Lonchura striata: one gene and its partner. The protein of the gene in region 1 interacts with the protein of each later gene in a biochemical or structural test. Links are inferred from orthologs where the notes say so. Each region holds a gene or a part of one and is shown in the gene's direction. Other genes may lie near its edges.

The links. The genes of interacting proteins can lie anywhere in the genome.
Region 2: the proteins of ACVR2A (region 1) and GDF2 form a complex in vitro, tested with the Homo sapiens proteins (2 studies listed by BioGRID). The link is inferred for Lonchura striata from reciprocal best matches to the Homo sapiens genes ACVR2A and GDF2.

What each region holds. Positions count from the first base shown.
Region 1 is NC_134610.1:2,545,611-2,556,605, reverse strand, and holds the start of ACVR2A (activin receptor type-2A), read left to right. Parts: upstream 1-6,521; 5' UTR 6,522-8,221; coding exon 8,222-8,276; intron 8,277-10,995. UniProt on the Homo sapiens protein: On ligand binding, forms a receptor complex consisting of two type II and two type I transmembrane serine/threonine kinases.
Region 2 is NC_134609.1:14,654,668-14,665,065, reverse strand, and holds GDF2 (growth/differentiation factor 2), read left to right. Parts: upstream 1-6,248; 5' UTR 6,249-6,456; coding exon 6,457-6,802; intron 6,803-8,448; coding exon 8,449-9,389; 3' UTR 9,390-9,436; downstream 9,437-10,398. Other genes in the region: GDF10 (growth/differentiation factor 10), read left to right, coding at 770-961. UniProt on the Homo sapiens protein: Potent circulating inhibitor of angiogenesis. Signals through the type I activin receptor ACVRL1 but not other Alks. Signaling through SMAD1 in endothelial cells requires TGF-beta coreceptor endoglin/ENG.

The sequences.
Region 1 (10,995 bases):
GGTTAAAAACTCCAGGATCCATGTGTGTGTCCTTCAGCTTCCCTAACTCTGCACATGAAACAAAAATACTTTTCCCCTTGCAGTTTCATGAAAGTTAATTAGTTGATATTACTAAAACTGGGTGTATGTACTAGGTATCACTACAAAATTAGAAGTACATTTTCATTGCCTAAAAAATTTCAAGGCAAAAAAAAAGAGCCTTTATATCAGAAAGGTTGATGCTGTGTACAAAATTTTCTAAGTAAATGGGAAAAATGGCTAAATTTTGTGCATTTAAAACACCCTGAGCTAAAAAAAAACTTCTCACTCTAGGGGTTAAACAGGATTTTGCCTCAGATATTAAACAGAATTTAATCTCAGATATTAACATTATCTGTTCAATGTCTGAATTGGAATTATTATAGAATTATGTGCAGATGAATTAACTCCAAAACTATTCAGCAGTAGAAGCTGGAGCAGGATTTAGCTCCCCGGTGGTCTGAACAATGGATAAGAGCACCAGGCTGGGATGTTCTGCTGGTTGCAGAAGAAAGATTCTGGGTTTGAATTTTCAGGATTTAAAATCCCTGGAATGGTTCAGCCCATCCATCTTGTCAGAGCACAATCACCAGAGAGAAATGTTCCAGATGGATTGTGCTCATGAAAAAGAAGTGAGCAGCTATTAGGGCTTCCCTGAGAGACTTTCAAGCCTAGAAATTTGTCCTTCTTAAAATCTGAAATGGGTCAAATTTGGGAATCTTCCACACTTCTTCCTATGAAACCTGTAATGTGCCAGATTTTCAGGAATTACAGCACTTGGGGGAGGAATTATTTCTGTCACAGTGAGCAGGAACAAAGGGGTGCCTGAGCTGCTGTTGGCAGGATTATTTTAATGCTACTTAAAATCTGTGCAGAAATTATGAAATCCCTAAATCAGGGATTATGGGCTGCAACCAAAACACATTGATTTAGAGCAATTCACAGCCATTGTCCCAGAGTCACACCTGTGACTTCATCAGGATTCCTGCTCCATTCCCACATCCCTCCTCTAACAAAGGGTTCAGATAACAGCAGCAAGAGCAGCAGCTGCATTTCCCTTAAGGAAATGGGCCTCAAATCATATTGCAATCCTTTTCCTTTGCAGGAAGGCTTTATTAGCCTGAACCTGCTGCCTCTGGAAGCAGGACAACTGCTTGTGCCATGTCATGTGCTTGTAAGGGTTAATTCTGCACTCCCCAGTTATCAGCAATAAAAACTATAAAATTATTAGCAGTTTGTCCATTACCAGGGGTCTTCACCTTCCTTTTGTAAAATTCCAAATGGCAAATTGTCAGCTGCAACACCCGTGGATGATTTGATAAACATTTGACTCCCTGTTCCCATCCCTTTCTGAAACCAGTCACATTCTGAATCCTCAACTTCTTAGCTTTTAGCACTACCAGTAACTAATATTTGAGTCCCAGAATCCTCCAATCCATCTGACCCTTCCAGAATTCCACTTCCCATTATCATTTTATATCAATACTGCAGGAAACTTTATTATTATCTGTTGAAGCAAAAAATGGCATTCATTTGTCTTCCCCAGCACTCATCTTCTCTGTGACATCGATCTGAACCAAAAAATATTTCCAGGAATGTTCTCCTTACTGAGGTTTTAAATTACCAAAGCATCAGGCAGCTCTCCTGACCCCACCCTTCAGAAAGCTTCTAGGATATTTTGAATGACACCAGAAGTAATTACAGCTATTCATGTATTTGTATTTCAAAACAACCAGAAGTCATATTGACACAATAATTCAAAACAGCACACAGTTGAATACTCTGAAGCTCTGACAATCTCTTCTCTACACTTGGCCACTTCACACTCCTACTTCTTATAACTATTTAATTACAAATTGTTGGCCTAAAATATTTTAATCTTTATCAACAAATATATGTATCAAGCCTTTCAAATGCAGTGCAAAAGATCTTTAAAATCTGCTATCACTGTCAGGACGCTGTAGCAAAAAAACAACAAACGCTTGTCACATATTTTAAGAATCCTTCAAAAATAACGTTGAAAACATGACAATGTTGCAGAACTTTTGCATTCTGTGATGAACACAGAGTCAGTTTGTAACAGAATATATAAATTATGGTGCATTCTGAGAAGGGAGATCTCTACACAGACCTGCAGAATCTCATTTTCATGGCACTGACTGGGATTTTAGGAATTCAGATTGGACTCTTCATGAAGAGTCAAAGGATCCTACAAAAAAAAGATCCTACAGTACAAATGAGGACTAGAGGAAAATATCCAGAAAATGCAATTTTGCTGTGAAATATGGATTAAATCATAGCTGATAAATGCCACAGTGATAAAACCCTGTGACACCACGAAGTGCCCCTCAGAGAAAAGGGAGTGTCTGAAAGCAGCCAGAAGCTCCAGTGGGATGGTTTCTTCTGACAAGACTGCAAATTCTAGAAAGAAACATCCCTACCTCCTCCAGGAAAATAGGTTAGGTAGCTTGCAATCCCTGTTTTAAGGAAGCAAAAGTCTGGCTAACAGGTCAAAAAGGAAAAAGAATCCTTGGTTTAAATGTAACTTTTGTGGAAACAACTTGATGAAACTTGTATCAAAGTTAATTTCTGTAATATTTTGTATCTTTTTAAACCTGAGGCAGGGAAAATAATCCCTGGTGGCGTAGGGTCTATAGGCTCCAGGTGTTTAATTGAAAAGGGAATTTGTGCACACAAACTCGCTACAAAAACAGCTTTAGAGAACGTGATCCAGTCCAAATCCTGTCACTGCTCATGTGAATAAAATGATCCCACTTTAGCCCTGCACCAAAACAGGGCTGGGATTTCAGCCAGTATCTGAATTTGTGGATGCTCAGCTGGATTCAGCAACTGCATCTAAAATTTAAAAGTTTGATTTGAAACATTAAAGGAGAACATTTTGATGCTCAGCTATGTCGCCCCAACCCAAAAGCATTGCAGAGGCAAGCTTTGGATTTCATTTCAGTTCATCAGCAGCATTTAAAAGGTTAATTAAGTCCACATTCTCTCTTGTTTTCAAGTTGTGATACTCATATAGTTGTGAAGTATCTTAAGAGTTTTGGAACAGAGTAAAAAGTGCAAAATAATGAATAGTTTGTAGGAATTTTATTATTTGTCCACAGCAACAGAACTGAAAGTCTGTATTAAAACTCTTTTGGAATATGGTGAGTTTCACATAAATCATGCATATGAAAGCAAAAATACTTTAAAGCAGTTATTTACCTTTTCTAAAATAAAATAATTTAGGCTGCCATCCAGCACCTTTTCCCAAAGGAAACTGAAGCTGGCTGGTAAAGAGGGCAACACTGGGACAGATTAATTTCTTGACATTTTGGTCCTTTTTTTTTTTTTTTTTTTTTTTTTTTTTTTTTTTTTTTTTTGTTGGTTTTTTAAGGACAGTGCCTGAATGGGGTCTTCTCTTCCTCCAGAGTTTCAAAGGGGGAATGACTTAGACCACAAGGAAAGATGAAAGAGATAATGACAAGGATTCTCTCTGTTGGTGTCACTCCTGATGTTATCAACACCATGCTTCCCATTTTGCATTCAGAAATGTTTCTCTAGGTGTTCTGAATGAGTTCTGCACAAAAACTCCTCTCCTTCCACGTTGGGTTTTGTGTTGATTCACTGCTAAGAGTGGGAATAGCAAAGGCACAGCTGAAATCCTCAATTCCTAGCAGTGCTCCAGAGAGAAAAATGAGACATTGCTGGGTTTTAACTCTCCTCATTACTCCCTAGAAGGAAAAGTTATATTTGCGCTGCCTCTAGGCAAAGTCCCATCCCACATGAACAAAAGACTGAAGCTAAGATCACATCCATTTCATCTCCTCCTGCTCTCCACAGATGCTTAAGTCCCTGACACTGTGTCTTCGGTGCTCATATGTCACAGTAAATGATTCATTAAAAATGCACAGACAGATTGATCTTGGAAGGGGGAAAAAAAAAGATCTGGAGTTTGAGGCGAAAGGAAAATAGAAATGATGAGCCAAAAGGTGAAAAAGGGAAACACTCCCAAAATTCACATGAGAAAGACATTTAAAAATAAAGAGGAGACAGCAACTGTGCTGACATTTAATGTGTCTGCTTGGGATAAAACTCATCCTTTTACTAGCAATAAAACAACAGCCTAGCCCAAAGCCCTTGAAGCATTTTGCATCAAGTACCTCATAAAAACGGTTGGCAATTTCTCCTAAGGTCTGTAGAATATCTACACCAAACTATATAATTTTTTTGTGTGTGTAATTAAATGGGAGCAAATCCCCAGTGCAGGTTGGAAGATCTCCTTGATCCCAGCACCAACACTCATTGCAGACCCCTGGCCATGCTGAAAAGTGGCGAGGAAAAGGAATGAGCTCTCCTTGTGGTGCTGATAAGAGTAACCCCACAGAATGACTGGGTTTGCAAGATTTCCTGGATGGCCAGAAGGATTTGCTCTGCCAGAGGAATCCTGCCAGCAAAAAGCAACCCCTGCCTAAGGATAATAAGCTCCTTGAGTAAGAGACACCTCCTTGCCATGGCAAATTCTCTTATATAGGTGACACATTTATTCTATTTTTATCAAAAACAACCAGTAAAATAGAAATATGGACCATAATTTACACTCTTTCAGAAAAAAGAAAAAAAAAAACAACAACAATGACAACTAAACCAAATCCTTGCAATGGGAAGTACATATATAAATATATATTCACACACACACCAGCAATATTTTTAGCTATGATTTCCTACTCATGTGGCAACATGACCAGTGTTCTGAAGAAGCTGAGCCAAGTGAAAACACAACCTGCAGAACAGGTCACGTTTAAATATTCTGCTATTGAAGAATATTAAAAACTACAGATTAAGTAGGAGTGTTGTAACACTTAACATTAATTAACGCTTGTAAATCACTCTGAAATACTTGGATAAAAGATGGTATAAAAGGTGTTGCCACATGTCTTGATGCTTCTAGATGTGCACAAGCCCTGACATCTTATTTTGTGTTTGGGAGATTTCAAATCATAAAAAAAATATGGTCACTGGATGAATTTAATGTTGGGAAGTGTTGGGACACGACAAAGAAACACCAAGGTTGTCTGATTAAGAACTCAAGCAGACACCTCATTGTAAAAAAAACTGAAATAGATCAATTTCTTGGATCCTGGTGGAGCACCAGGTCTAGTTACTGATCTGTGAGTTACAGCTTAGCAGTGTGGCTAAGCCTTGACTTGGCTGTATATTCATATATGTGAAATACAGATAATTTTCCTTCCAGTTTAGTAACACCGGCTATTCACATCCCAAAAAAACCCCTTAGTCCATGCCACCAAACAGTTTGAAAGGAATCTGGGAGCACCTAACACCTGGGGGTGGTGAACAGGATAACCAGCTCTCAGAGAACTTGGCACTTGTTGCTTGTGCAACTACAGATCTTTATAGAATACAGAAATCAAAGGCCAGCACTAAGGCTCTTCTGTTTTCCCACAGAGATCTCCAGATCTAAGAGCCACGTCTTCCTTTTCATCCAGAGACAAGAGATGTGTTTTATGGCATCCAGCTAAGAAAAAAAAAAAAAAAAATTGTAAGGAGTGACACCAAACTTGTGAATGAGCAGAGTCTATTAGTGACCTGGACAGGACACACAAACACACTCCAGGTGCCTTCCAGCACCTCGGGGGAGCCCAGCAGAAGCACGGAGAGAACAGCACGGAGGGCAACTGGAATGGATTCCAGCTTACAAAAGGGCAGGTTTCAATTAGATGGGATATTGGGAAGGGATTGCTCCCTCTGAAGGTGGGTGCCCAGAGAAGCTGAGGCTGTCCATGGACCCCTGGCAGTGCCCAAGGCCAGGCTGGACAAGGCTTGGAGGAGCTGGGATGGTGGAAGGTGTCCCTGAGCATGGCAGGGGGTTGGAAATGAATGATTTTTAAAGGTTCTTTTTAACCCAAACTCTTCTGTGACTCTGATTCTGTGCTGTAGCAGCAGTGATGCTCCTGAGCAACGTGCCCACAAACAGAGACCACCGTAGCTCTCACCTGCACTACCTGCAGGACATTTTGGGGCTGGGGTGGCGATGAGGCAGAAGCCCAGGCCAACATTTGACCCCAGCGGCAGCGGCCCCAGCCTCCCCCCGCTGTGTTACACCGTCCTGACCCCTCCCAGCCAGCTCCCACCGCGTGGCCGCCGGCAGCGTTTTGCCTCCAGCACCGGAGCCCCCCAGCACCTCGAAGGAGCCCCGCGAAGGGGAATTAGCGACGGCGGGGAGCGGGGTCGGGCGGAGCGGGGCGAGGGCGCCTGAGGGGCCGCGCCCTGAGGGGCGGGAAGGGCGGGCGGGAGCGCGCCCGTGAGGCGGCGCGCGCGGGCCGCGGGGGGCGGGGCCAGCGTGGGGGCGCGCGCTCCGCCCCGCCGCCGATAGGAGGGGCGAGAGGAGGTGGGCGGGGCTAAGGCACAAACCCCGCGTTGTGATTGGGTGGCGCGGCTGTCAATCCGGCGCGGCCGCCGCGGCCGTGGGGAAGGAGGGGGAGGCGGAGAGGAAACAAAAACAATCGCCCGGGCGCCGCCATCTTGGGCCGGTTCTCCACACGCCACACGGGTGAATGGGTAGATATGAGATTACCACGGGGGAGCAGCGGCAGCAGGGCACCGAGGGCTGTTCCGCGCTGCCAGCGACACTCGGCGGGCTCTAGGCACGGCCGCCGCCGCTCGGAGAGAATCCCCCGGCTCGGCCTTTTCGCCTCGCCAGCCCCTAAGCTGCACTGCTGGAGGGACAAAGTTGGGCTGAGCCGCGCTGCCTCCGCCGCCCGGGAGACCGGAGAGTTGAGCCGGGGTCAGAGTTAGGGGAGAGGGTGAGGAGGGGATCGCTCCCCGCTCCGCCGTGTGGGAGGCGCGGGGAGAAGGCTCTGCCTCCCCGCCCCTGCCGTCTCCTGCTGCTCGCTCCTAGGAGGAAAAGAAAAAAGAGGAGGAAAAAAAAAAAAAAAAAAAAAAAAGAAAGAGGCAAGAACTGGATTGAGCTCGGAGGGGTGGATTTTGTGGAGCCTCCGTGTGTGAGCAGCGGCGGGGCGGCCAGGAGGAGATGTGTCCGTGAGGAGGGAGAGGAGCGTGGATCCATCCAGGAGCCGTGAGCTGCGAGAGGAGCCGGGATCCATCCAGCCCCAGCCGTGAGGCACCGCCGCCTCCCTTCCAAAGAAGCCCATTTCTCCTGGAAGCACGGCGCTCGGCAAGGATTTGCCACAAAGAATATACCACCCTCCTTCCCAGCGCCTGGATACTGCATTTTTTTTTTAATTTTTTTTTGGTACCCCCCTCCCCAGCCACTCTTGTGTGTTTAAATACCAAATATAGCCTCTCGCGGGGGGAGGGGATGGAAATCTCCTAGAAGAATTGGAAATCTTGCTGGGATTCGGGAGTGCTGGTGTTGGAGAAGGGCGGTGAAGAAGGGGGGATGCACTGCTCTCGCTGCCTGGCCAAGGACTAGAGATTTGCCACTTCCCGGGAAGCCCGAAGGTTTGTTTGTTCCCAGACTGTTGTTTCCCCCCTTTCCCTCTCCTGGGCTACGCTAAATCCCTCAGCATTTATTCAAGAAAACCCACGTGTAGCTGGTGGCTGGTTTTTAAGGTAGTTTTTAATCTACAAACTGACAAAAAAAAAAAAACTTCCTCTCTTCGCCCCGAGGTTTGGAACTGGAATGGAGCTGCTTTTCTCCCAAACACTACAGGAGGTGTGAAGTGGGGGAGGCAGGACGAAAACATCGCCTTGGACTGATCCCGATCCGACCCCCCGACACTCGCACCCACGAGGGATGATCCTTCTCGGCGCCTGATGTGGAAAACATTTGGAGACTCAGAGACTTCGTCGAGTTCAGCAGCTTAATCGTTGACTTATTTTGTTTTGGTTTTTATTTTTTTTTTTAAGTGGATTGGTAGCATTACTTTTATTAATTGAATTTTGCCACCGTTTGTACAGAAGCCAAATGACACGTGTGTTTTGAAGCACGGTTCCAAATATATTTATCCCTCCCTCAACCCGGATTCTGTCTAGAAAGAGCCTTGGGGAGGTCGTCACTGTCTAAACAAACCTGATTTTTAGTGTTTTATGAACACTACCTGCTGCAGAAATGTTGCTATAAATTGCTTTATAACGGTTCAGCAAGAAGGGAGATTTTTCCAGCTTGCAGGACCCAGAAAACTGGATACTTAAAGTCACTTAAATGTTTTAACAGCATTGGAAAATGGGAGCTGCTACTAAGTTGGCGTTCGCTGTTTTTCTTATCTCTTGTTCATCAGGTAAGTGAATGTTCCTGGATTTGTCACTTTAAACTGAGGGCTTTGGGGTCAGCACTCGAAAACTTGGGCTGGCTCTGTATGAATGAGAAGAAATCTTATTTTTTTTTCAGGAGGCTAATACTTGTGGATGGCAGCGACTGTAAAGGCAGAAGCTGCTTTCGTCTTTATTCTTAAAAATATAAATAACGTGAGCACTTGAAACGCTCGCAGCGCTTGGATTTCAGATCAATTGTGTGGAATAAATGTGGAGATATAACCACCTAGTGTCACATAAGTAACCTGGCAGCGCAGCTATCGGTGTTGGATGCTGGTTTTAAATAAGAATTACCCAGCTGAAATGCTCTTTCCTTCAGTTTGATCTCTCTTACCCCGGACTATTCACTGGTGAATAGCGACCTTCGTTAATGCTTCATTAATTTAGAATAGGTGCCGCTCTGAAAGGCTGGGCTCGTCCTTTGGTGACAGCGAGGGGTGTGTGCGTGTAGAGATGTACCAACAGAACTGGGGTGAAAAGCCGGGCTTTCAGTTTCTAAAGAACCATTTGCAGCGCTTTGTATTTTGGTATTCGTTATGTCACTGCCTTTTAGCGCAGAAAAGAAAAAAATCTACTAATTTTTTCTGTCAAACAGCAGAACTGGGGGTTCAAACGCCAGCGCTGAGTCTTGGGAAGCGAGCGGGGTGCGAGGACTTCCCCACGCTTTTCCAAGAGGAAAATTGTTATGGCAGCAACCAGTGGTTGGGCAACTGTTGGTCCATTTGTGCTTGGAGCTCCGTCAGTCTCACAAAAACCCCTCTTAGGAGCTGAGTGAGGATCTAACGCGGCTTCACAAGCCAGCCTGGCGCTCTGTGCCCGCATTCGGAGCGTGTCTTTATTGCTCTGGGTGGGTTTTTAGCATCCTTGCAGGGTGTGCAAAGCTACACTTGTTTATCAGGCTAAAAGCTCGCAGACAAGTGCTCAGCCTCCCCGTGTGACCGAGAGAAGGGAGTAATGAGATCCCTGTAAGGATGCCTTTTAAATTTCCAGCGCTATGGAGTTGGAGGATTTTGCTGAAGAGGCCGTTTTGCTGTGGTTAGTAAATGGATAAGTCTCGTCTTGTGTCTGTAGTGCTATCGATCCGCACTGTGTGCGCTAAATGTGCTGTGAAATGGCGAGCGCTGCCAGGAGAAACCCAAAAACCCTGCCTGTGCTAACCAGGGAAACGGCACAGCGGCTTAAGGACAGCCAGAAGGGTGTTCGGGATGGTTAATTTTTATTCTTCTTTTGAAACAAATCATCATTTCTGACAGCTTTTGCCTTGCAGTGAAGACGTGTGTGTCGTCTTTTCCTAATGCCTGATTTTTCAGCTCAGCAGCGTTCCTTTTAATTCAGCAATATGTTTTGTAGGGAAACTTTTTTCCCCCCTCTCACTAACAGTTTCTGAAAGACTTGCTGCCATCTGCTCTCCGTGTCTGTCTCTCTTCCACGTCCACCTCTAAGATCCTTTTGCCTAGAGCACAGAACAGTGGTTTTTGTTGACATTACCTATCAGACTTAATAAAAAAGAACAGCTAAGCAATAAAGAGCGTCTTTTCTTTAACGTTTCTCGCTCGGGTTGTCCTTGGTAAGGTGAAAAGAATGTTCCTCTTGCCTGTGAAGAATTAATCTTGGCTAAATGAGCAGGAAACCGCCTGCAATCCGGGCTGCTTCTCATGTTAATGACATTGTTTTGGTGGTTATTCCAGTATTACACATTAAGTGTTCCGGTACTTAACAATTATTGTACTATTTTCCACTCACACCAGCACTGCACTCTAAAATTTTAGGCAAGTCTAAAAATAAATAAATTCAACAGTAAACTGTTGGGTTTTTGATGAGAACTACAAGATTATGCAAGATTTTAAGCTTGAAGTGCAGGCGTTTTTATGAGTAGTGTTTCTTAACTGCCTTATTTCAGTTTAAAACCGTACCTGATGGATTGGTTCTAACATCATCATCGCCAGAATTTTCTTTTTCAGTCTTTAGTGTGAAAATCAGTCCTGTATTTTGAAATATTGACGATGGTTAAGAAAATCTTGGAGTTCAGGTGTATTGATGGCTGACTTTGGTGTGCAGCTCCAGCTCCTGTCAGGCTCTTTCAGCGACTGGGGGTTTGGTTTGCTGTATTTGTTAATTTATTTTTAAATACAGCTATTTTCTGCAGATGTTTACATGGCCAATTAATACCGGGGTTCTTTTAATAGGTGAAAATGTTGTGGTTTTTTTTCCTGCGTGGTGGGTGTGGAAGTGCTATTTCGGTTCAAAGTGATTTATTTTATTATCTGTAAACTGCACTATGAAATGCTGTAAATGTACTGCAAATGGAGAGGAATTTCCAGCGAGTTTAATCATCTTTGTTAAGAGAGTGAAAATATTTCCCCGTTCTGACTAAGATACTGGAGAAAGAGCATCTGTGTTGTTATTAGGCTTTAAAATATTTGTAGATGCTTGGATAGAAGTGGGTGTAGGTTTGCACCCATCTGTAGGAGCTCCAGAGGCTGAGATGAATGCACATTAACTAAACAAGAAAACAAAGTGCCCGGGTCAAGGTTCTCCATGTGCCCTCTAATATACTTCTTAGATAAACCTGTGTGCATGCTTGATTTCAGAAGGAGTAGAAGATCCTGAAGTAATAATAAAATACTTCAGAACAATCTTCCTGTGCCTCTGCAGTAGGTGAGGCAGGATTGGAGGGGAGCTTCA
Region 2 (10,398 bases), on another chromosome or scaffold:
CTTTTCCCAGTCTTCCAGCCTTTTTTTCTTCTCCCAGTTTGAGGCTAGCCCATGGGAAAAAAAAATCCTGGTGATAAAGGCAGAGGGAAGCAAAGACCACAGATATGAACTATTTGTCCTGCAGTTATGATCATAAAGGCTCTGTCAGGGTGCTTGACTATTCTGTACTCTCTCCTGTGGACACTACTTCTGGAGTACTCTGCTATTTTAAAAGAGAGTGCTTACTCCAGGAAAAAGTAACTAATTCCAGGTTAGTATACATGAGAAAAAATTATATTGGAACATAGGGATATTTATTTAGGGATAGTTATTTTGGAAATACTTACAGTGGCAAATTTTATAAGTCAGACAGGAGGTTAAGAAAACAAAATAGAGCATCTAGCAACTGAGAACTATGCCCCAACTTAGGCTTCTTCTCTTGCATGTCTGCCTCCAGCATGTAGCAGGTGCATTCAGGAACATTTTTCTTCAGGCCTCTGGCTGCTGGCTGTGCCACCAGTGCCCTCCTCTGGTATTTATGAAGGGCCTAAGGAACACAAAATATCTGTAGGATACATCCAGCTCAGGAAAGCTGGGAGTGTGAGGGACTGGTTGTGCTGCATGGCCCTGTAACTCAAAGAATGACATATTTGCTTTATTGAGAAACAAGCAACTGCATAATTCTTGTGATTTTCTATGTTCACACAAGAAATTGACTGCTTGTACCAAGTCCACCTAGGAAAGTGACTGCTCATAAATGAAGCTATAACTATTTCCTTCTCTGTTCTAGATTGTCCGGCCATCAAATCATGCTACAATCCAGAGCATCGTAAAAGCAGTAGGAATCATTCCTGGCATCCCAGAACCCTGCTGTGTTCCTGACAAAATGAGCTCACTCAGTGTCCTGTTCTTAGATGAGAACAAAAATGTTGTTTTAAAGGTATATCCCAATATGTCAGTTGAAACTTGTGCCTGCCGATAAGTTGGTACAAACACACCTTTAACAAGGCCTACAGATCCTGCCTGACTGCTCTGGGAAGTTGTAGAGGAGAAATGAATCCACTTGTGCTGATGAACCAATGCAAGTCTCCAATTCCTCTACAGAAAGCACACGGAAAGACTAAAACAATGCACGTGCTTGCCTCAAAGGAGAGGTCGTACTGTCATTTGTCTTTCACATTCATCTTCCAGGAATTCAGTACTTCTACAGATACCTTCTAACCCACCTAGCCAAGATACCTGGTGTTTAGAGAGAAATTTAAGTGTAAATTTTCCATAATCAAAAGACTAAAATATGTTTTTATATGTTACTTTCTGACTATTTTATCTCTTCAGTTAACCAAGAAGATGGGAAGTGATCTTGCAAAGGCAGACTTATTTTAGAATATCACTTTTTTACACAAATCAGAAGTTTTTGCCTAAAACACTCATACTCTTAATATGTATATTTATACTGAAAAATGCTGTAATAAAGGGCTTAAAATGTATATTTTCTTCAGGATGCAAGTATAGTTCACTGCATAAGTTTTCATATAAACAATATGTTAATATAGTCATTTTTGGTTACCCTTCCTTAATATATAATTTGTTCTACAAAAGACATGTAATATCCCACATTTTTGGTTTGCTGGTGATTTCAGGTTGTCAAACATATTATCTGAGTAACACATACAATATAGTAATTTGTTCAAATACTAAAATAAAATAACCAAGATTTATATTTTTGTAAATTATTCTTTATAGTCTCTAGATTGTTACATGCTTTTAACAAAAGCTAATAAATTAAAGGTACAGTAGTATCTAAAATATTTGCTTGTTTTTCTATAAATGCACTTTCCTACATTCTGTTAATTAGATGGAAACTTGTAAATACATGTTAAGCTTGTCATAATGCACTTCAATAGATTAAAGATAGAAGGAAATGCTATGATCATCCAGACTGACCTCCTGCATAGCACAGATGAAAGAACCTTGCTCAGCAGTTTCTGCACCATGCATTATGGAACTTCTGTTTTGAGCTTGGGAATATCTTTGAAAAACTTGCATAAATTTGGCTTTAAAGATTTCATGTGATAGAATATCTCTACTGGACTACAAGTAGTTGTTCCAAAAGTTAGTGCTCTTTGTTCATATGCAGTGGCTTAATCCTAGACTGAATTTGATGAGCTTTAGCTTCAATTCAATGGATCTTACTGTAACCTATTTCATTAGATCCCTTTTATCTATTATCCAAAATACTTTCACTGTGTATTTTTAGTATAGAGAGTAGGGTCAAGTTACATTTTGGCTAAGATTTAAATAGATTGATTTCTTATTCTAAGCCTTAAAACAATTTCTCACAGCTCTCTTCTGAACTCTTTCCAGAACTTTCATTAACTTTCTTTTCAAACAATGAACATCAAAATGGGAAACATTTGGCAGTGGTTCCATTGGAAGTCTTTATAGAAATAAAGTCTCTGCATCCCTCTAACTCCTACACAATCCCCTGTTGATACTTTTATGGTAGCCTTTTAACTGCAGCAGCCTTTTAAGAGCTGGTGTTCCCATCATGGTGTCTGTCAATACTCTGGTTGTCCCCATGTTCTAGGACACACTTGCCACATGCTTCATTTTCACCCACCTGCTATAAAATAGCATAAAGAGATCAAGAGTGGAAGAAACATCTGAAGTCCCTGAGGAAGCACAAATTATAAGATATGGAGTGCTTCCTCCTCAAGAAGCAATCTAATTTTAGGCACTACCTTGTCCTGTTAAGAGTTGCTTTGTTTAAGGGAAGGGTGCTACACGCACTTCCTTCTAAAGAACAAATAACTGCAAGGCTCCTATCCTACTAAAGTTCTAGGTATATTCTGCCACCAATTTTCTATGCTCAGCTGGTGCAGTTTCTCAGAAAACAGAGGTATGTAAATGTGGTATTTCCAACATACAAAAAAGCAAGATTCAGCATACATGGGAGGCTTTGCTAGGTTACTCTGACAGAACTTCTTGCTAGTTCTTCCTAGAAAGCTCTGACTTAGAAGTAAAAAGTTCTATGGTGCCCTGTAGTGACTGTCAGTTATGCCTTACAAAAGATCACTGATCAAGTTTGCAGCTCTTCTCCTGAAGTATTTTTGCACTTTGTAAATCACTACAGTAATTTACACTATAATTACTGGGAAAAAACTTTGTATAATGTTGCTTCTAGAGACTTCCCTTAAAAAATTTACAATTTTGTGTTTTTATAAACCATAAGAAACTCAACTACAATTGAAAGAGTAAGCTAACATAGAAAGAAAAATTTAAGATTTGTCAGAAATTTACCATTCCTACAGAAAAGCCATAGTACAACGTTTTTCAAAGTATCTTAAATCCATGTTATTTCTGCTCTCTGCGAGAATCTACCTTTTTATATATGTCTAGTCTTGCTCCCATTTATCACTAGCTCTGAAAAGCCTGACATTAACTTAGTGTGCCTATATTCTCATCCACAGCATTTTATTTTTTCTTAAGGAATACTTGCTATATCTTGAATTAGTCCTTGGATAAAAACATTATTTCCAAGATGTGCTGATGCAAGCTATTATGGCAAGAGATTCCACACTTTGATCTATGGTCAATAGGATATAAGGAAAAATGCTACTGCTACACTCATAAGGATGCCTACAAAACTCCAAGAGGTTAAGACTGCATTTAAAGTTCTATTGGCAAGACTGTATATATTATACCTGTAAGTGTGATTGTTCTCAAAATATACCTTTGCTACACAAGTCATACACATCTCTTATTAGTAAAGCTTATTTCATTTGGAATTTACCTGTACTGGTCAATTCTTCAATGCAAAAAAAGGCTTTCAACCACTTTTAGTAGTTTAAGTTATTCCTTTTGGCATCTTTGTAATTTGGGTGGCTAATCTTTCTCTGGAAGGAGAAACTGCATTCGAAATGGCACAAATGCAGACAGCTGCTGCCAGGGGATGCTGATGCCCTCACTGTCTTGGTTCCAGCAGATCTTTTTTACTTCTCTGAACATCCTATAAATCATTCTGCTCAATGCTTGAGTTTATAGAGAAAGTTACTACTGATAAACACAGGTCAAGACAATTCCACTAACTAATCCTAAAAGAAAATGGTATGAGTAAAGACAGATAAAATAAGAAAACAGTTGATACTGGCCAGCAAAGTGTTAAAACCCATTTTTTCTAAAACAAAACTGATTTCATTCTTTCAGGCCACTGTTTAATTGCCAGCAGTAACAGCAACAGCTACAATGTACCTAGGTTTCTGTGAAATATTCAATTCACTTGCCAAGGCTGCATAATTAAAATAAACCACTGGACAATATTAATATGTTTTTGTATCACATTGATTAAAAAATGTCTCACTGCCAAACCTCAAAGAACAGCTTTCAAAAGGAATTTCCACTGAGTTAAACTGTTCATTGTAAAGTTTCTGCAAAGCTGACACTTGGCCTGACAGTATTTGACACCTTTATGTATGAACTTTGAGTCTGTATATAGCAACTCCCGCTGCATTTGCAGAAGAGAGATGTTTATATAGACCACTTGATCTAGCTGCACTCAATGTAATTAAAATTAATTTTAAAGTAGGCAGATACAGAGGTTCAGGTACCTAGTCTCAAGGAATGGAGGCTGCTCCTACTGAGTACAAGACTTCACCCTTGAAAGTCATAACTCTTAAGAATTTTGTGGCTGTCATAGATTTGTGATGCAGTTTGAGCACCCAGCATGATGCTATGGAATGGAAGCCAGTGAAAGCTTTGAAAATATACACACTAGAGCAGTGAACCACATAAAAAAAGGATATATTATTTCTTCATGTGGCACTGGTGGACTGCCACTAGAAAACTATATATAGCCCTAGGTTTCACCTTGTCAAGAAGGCCTTCAAATTCTGAAAGACAAACAAAAAACAAAGAAACCAAAACAGGGAGAGAAAATGTCTTTTGTTACTAAAGAGAACAATCTGTTTATCAGAAAGAAAACTGAGAAGTAATTTGATTACACTGTGCAAGCACTTTGAAAGGGGAAAATGTCAGTGCTATGGGACTCCTTAAATGAGCCAGAAAGTTACAAGAATTCCTGTCTAGAAGGTAAAGTCAGGCACAATGAAATAATGAACATGGCATGAAGGGGTTTTTAGCTGCAGGTGATAATATTTTAGCTAAAAAAATCAAAATTTTTGATTCTTTGACATATTCAGATAAAGTCTGTTGGCACTTAAAAATATATGTTTATCCAAACACAAACAATTTGACTCTGCATGTAGGTATAAAACACAAAGGCCCTGAGTAAATATAAGTCTTGCTATATGAGAGACCAGGATCAATGCCAAATAATCCTTTTTGACTTTATGTCATAGGAACATAATTAACCAGGATCTTGGATCCAAGTTGTCGCTTGAACAGAGTTGTTAGAAAAAATGATGCATTATTAGTACAGAAAAAACAATTATGTATCATTAGATTAAATCACAATACATTCATTAACATAAATAAACCTGGTTTTTCTTCTGTATCATGAGAAATTAATTTGCCTTGGCCTGTTCTTCTCATGCACACAATGTCTTCAGAGATAATCTTCTGTATCTTCAAAAGGACTTTTTATTTTCCATGTGGCCTTGGAAGGCCTGGTTCTGTCTTCATTTTGAGGTTGCTGAAAAAATGATTGGTTGTTCTTGGACTGGATCAACCATCATGAATCTATGAGATATATTGCATAAGATACTATAAAAACAAGCCTAAATTCCCATACACCAAAGGAATGAAAATGAACAAGCCTGCAAACAACATGAAACAAACTTGACACAAAACAGATTTCACTGTGTACAAACAATAGCCCTTGGCTGATAAACGGAAAGAAGTTTAAAGGTTGTTTGTAATGTCATGAGATCATGTCTTGCAGAATCACAGGTCTTTATCAAACTAATGGGCATTTTCTAATCATATGTGAAGGGATTATATAAATCATTTGTGAGATGTTATTTGTTAATAGCTAATAGAGTGATTTTGTTCTAGAGCTGTATTTTCTAGTCTTGCTGAAAACAGTGCAAACTTCTGTGTTCCTAAGAAAGCATCTCTCTGTGTTGGCAAGGAAATGATAGAAGAATGTAATTAAGCAAAGATGACCCTAAAGTGAAATGTGGATTCTTTACAATATACAATGTCCTTTCCACCAGCCACATGTGTTTGTCAGATGTTTACAGAATCTTCATTAACTAAGAGCTTTGCTAGATAACAGAAGCTGAAGCATGGCATCAATGACTCTGATAAGGACAAGTGTATGACCAATCTGCTTGACAACTGACAAGAGGCTGGGGTTTGAAGCAGACTGCAGAAAGAACACCAGAAAGTGATTTGCAAAGGGCATTCCAGTTGTTTGCCTTACATCTTCTTCCCTCTGTCTTTATTGAAACAAGACTGGCAATCAGCTAAAATACCCTTGTCCTCTTGTTTCTCCACCAGAAAGTAAATATAGAAGAAATGTGTTGTTTTGGAGTATTAGCTGCACTGTCTGTTTTCAACATCATTGCCTGTTTGACAAGAGGCAAGCCTTTGGAAGACTGGGACAGGCTATCAGCTATGGGAAAGTCTGATGCACACTTTCATGATCCCAGGGAAGTAGAAGATGAGACCCATTTCAACTTTAAATCTTTCTTGGAGAATATGAAGATGGATTTACTAAGGAGTTTGAATTTGTCAAGAGTACCCTCACAAGTGAAGACAAAAGAAGAACCACCACAGTTCATGATTGATTTATACAACAGATATGCTGCAGACAAGTCCTCCATCCCTGCATCCAATATTGTAAGGAGCTTCAGTACTGAAGGTAGGAAAAGTCCTCAATATGTGGACTACAATTTTTAAAGAAGTACCTTAATAGTAAATAGATCCTTTTGAAATTCAGAAGAAACTGAGTTCCTAACTTCCACAGATTCTTCAGAAATGAAACATTAAAATTTTCTATTATATTCTTACTATATCGTTTCTTTCAATTTTTAAAAAATGCAGTTACCTTTAGTTTTCTTCTTTGATATTTTCACTGTACAATATTCTCTTCTCAAATGCTTCAGCTAAGATGATGCACCAAATAACAAAGTTTACATGTTTCTCAATCCTAGATATTTCAAACTGAGTTTTTATGTTAGCATGCAAACTTTGATCACCTATAATTGAGACTGATGCTAGAGAGTTTTTCTCTTTTGGCAGGCTCTGTACATATTTAAAAACTCCAGCAACCAACTGAGAAATTTGTTGCTGGATTCCAGCAAGAAACAGCACTGTTCCTCCAAAATTCTGGGTTACACTAAGATTTATATGAAAATGGTCAATCATACTCATATCAACAGAAAAAAATTCAAGATCCCTGTTTATGTAACATTAAATAGACTTTTAAAATATCCGTCAGGCAGTAAAAAAGTTAGAAGTAAGTGCAGTCCTCGTTACGAAAATGAAGCAGGGAGAAATGAAGTTTCTGTTTATATTAAAAACAGACATACACAGGTAACAGCATTACAGAGAACTCCAAATTCCCAAATTAGTGTCCCTAATCCTGAAATAGAAAGAAATCTCAACAATAGGACCTAGATTATAGTTTCTATATCTGACTCTTCCCTGTGACTACTTTACAGGGTAAATGGTCTGAAGAAATGGCAGCAACAGCTAATTGAAATTCCCTAAAACCCAGTCATGATTAAGCAGTTAGCTTACACTGAGCATTAAATAGACATCAGGGATGACTTTTAAATACTACCAATCTGATCTTCCAGCCAAATACCTGCCCCTCCCAAGGCAGACTTGCTGGTACTGCATATAGATTTGCAGACAACAAACAAATGTGAACAAATCCACACAAATTCAAGGAATCCAGCCTGGAACAGTCTGGACCTGGGCATGAAAGACTGTTTAGTACCAAGACCCCCTTCAGACAGACACTGGACCTTCAATTCAGGACTTTCAAAAACTTTTCTATTTCCCCAAACTCCCAGTCTAAGCTGCCTTCAAACTTATCTGAAGACAACAACAAAAGCTTCAGCACAGCCAGTTCTTAAAGACACTTATATATGTATATTAGAGCAGAAGAGTATCAAACCATTAATTTTTTTACAAATTCTTTCTGTAAAAATATCTTTAACAAATTGCTACATCTGAAAACTCTGCACATGCCTTATTTATGTATTTAATACTGCCCAGCATCATCCATAGCTTGGTCTAGGCAGCCTCTTTATGCTTCCCCTCACACACTCACCTGGCTTTGTAATCACAGTAAAATACTACCAACACCAGGGACTTCCATTTCCTCTTTTCACTCTCTGCCCTTGAAACTTGGCCAGAAGACAGGATTTTTCTTTCTTTATTTTTTTTTAATGCTGTGTTTCCATGCTCTTATTTTATCCCCAAAATATATAGTCTATTAAAATCAAGTTACTTGGATAGTCAGAAACACTGTAACCACATTTTAATTTCCTATTGCAGATGTTGTTTCTTTAGATTCACCAGAAGAAAACCCATTTCAGAAACACATTTTGTTCTTCAACATCTCTATTCCACAATATGAGGAAATCACCAGAGCTGAACTGAGAATTTATATCTCCTGTCACAGGGAAACTGGGTCTCTCTCAAGGCTGGAAGGCAACATGGTAATTTATGATGTTCTAGATGATGGCCACTGGGAAAACCCAGAAAGTACCAAATCTTCCCTTGTTTCCCACAATATCCAGGAATGTGGTTGGAAGATGTTTGAAGTGTCCAGCGCTGTGAAAAGATGGGTCAGGGCAGACAAACTGGAGACTAAAAATAAGCTAGAGGTTGTTATAGAGACTAAAGCTCTGAGTGGTTTTACCTGTGGGAAGCTGGATGTCAGTGTTACTCCTGACGCAAAAAACCTGCCCCTGTTAATAGTGTTCTCCAATGACCGTAGCAATGGGACCAAGGAGACCAAAGTGGAGCTCCGCGAGATGATTGTTCACGAGCAAGAAAGTGTGCTCAAGAAACTAGGGAAGAACAACACTTCATCTGAAGAGGAACAGCAGGGAGAGGAAAAGGCCATCACTGGATCCCACCGGCATTCCTCCAGAAGCAAGAGAAGTGTTGGAGCCAACCACTGCAGGAGAACTTCCCTCCATGTGAACTTTGAAGAGATTGGCTGGGATTCCTGGATCATCGCACCAAAAGATTATGAGGCTTTTGAGTGTAAAGGGGGTTGCTTCTTCCCTCTGACAGACAACGTCACCCCAACTAAACATGCTATTGTCCAAACTCTGGTGCATCTCCAAAATCCAAAAAAAGCCTCCAAGGCCTGTTGTGTTCCGACCAAACTGGATTCAATCTCCATTCTTTATAAGGATGATGCTGGTGTGCCCACTTTGATATATAACTATGAAGGGATGAAAGTGGCAGAATGTGGCTGCAGGTAGTATACAAGGCAGAATCTCTAAGAAAAGGAACATCCCCTTTATCTGTCCTGTGCAAATCTGTACAACAGTGATGCAAATGAAGACGATTGCAAACAGGGTTAAGAGCATGGTATGGGGCTGATTTTTGTTGCTGCTTGTTTTAAGGGAAAATTGGCATTTAAAGAATGCCAATCTTTGTAAATAGCCTGCATTATATATCATGGCAAAGTGAATACTGGATTAAAATATTGTGAGATTGAATGAAGTATGCATTATCTGGTGATACAATGTCAATGCCTTATTTCAAACTTTCTGTTTAATCAGCAGTATTTTAGGTCACAAACTAGAGGATTTTCAGTGGGGGTTTATGATGTCCTGCAAATGTTTAACTGCTCTTGAAATCTAATTCTCTCAGTTAACTGTGACATTTTCAACTTGGGTAAAACTCGGTAAATGGAATGTTGTCTGCATGATAAAGTCAGGAATCTAAATCCAGGAAGCCTTTGCTCATATCAGTAATCTCAGAGGCTTTTACAGGCAAATTATTTGTTCCTGTAAGTGAAGATCTGCAGTATTCAAAACAGAACAGACGCTCACTTATTTCATTCCCAAGTTTCCTTCTGTGGGTAGCAGGTGCCTTAGTTTCAGCTTTCTTATCCTCAACGTCCCTATTTTTACCCCTTTATGGCACACACTTGAATGATAAGAAGTGCAGCCTTCCGCTTCTAAGACACTGTTTCCTAGGAGGAGCAGCAGCCCTTATCGCCGCACAAAGATAAGGAGCCACTTTGACCTACTGCATATTCTTAGTATTTCTTTGCAAGAACATGCAGTCAAATGGTGTCCAGCCTTAGAAGTTGTATCCTAAGAGCAGTGGGGGTTGACAGAGCTCAGCACTTTTGAAAAGCTCAGGCTGCTTATTTAGAGGCCTACATTTGTTGTTCAGAGTCTGGAATGAAGTTCTGATTTTTTTAAAATGTCTTCTTAGGAGAAACGCTATTTTACATGCAAAACTCTTTCAACCCTTAGA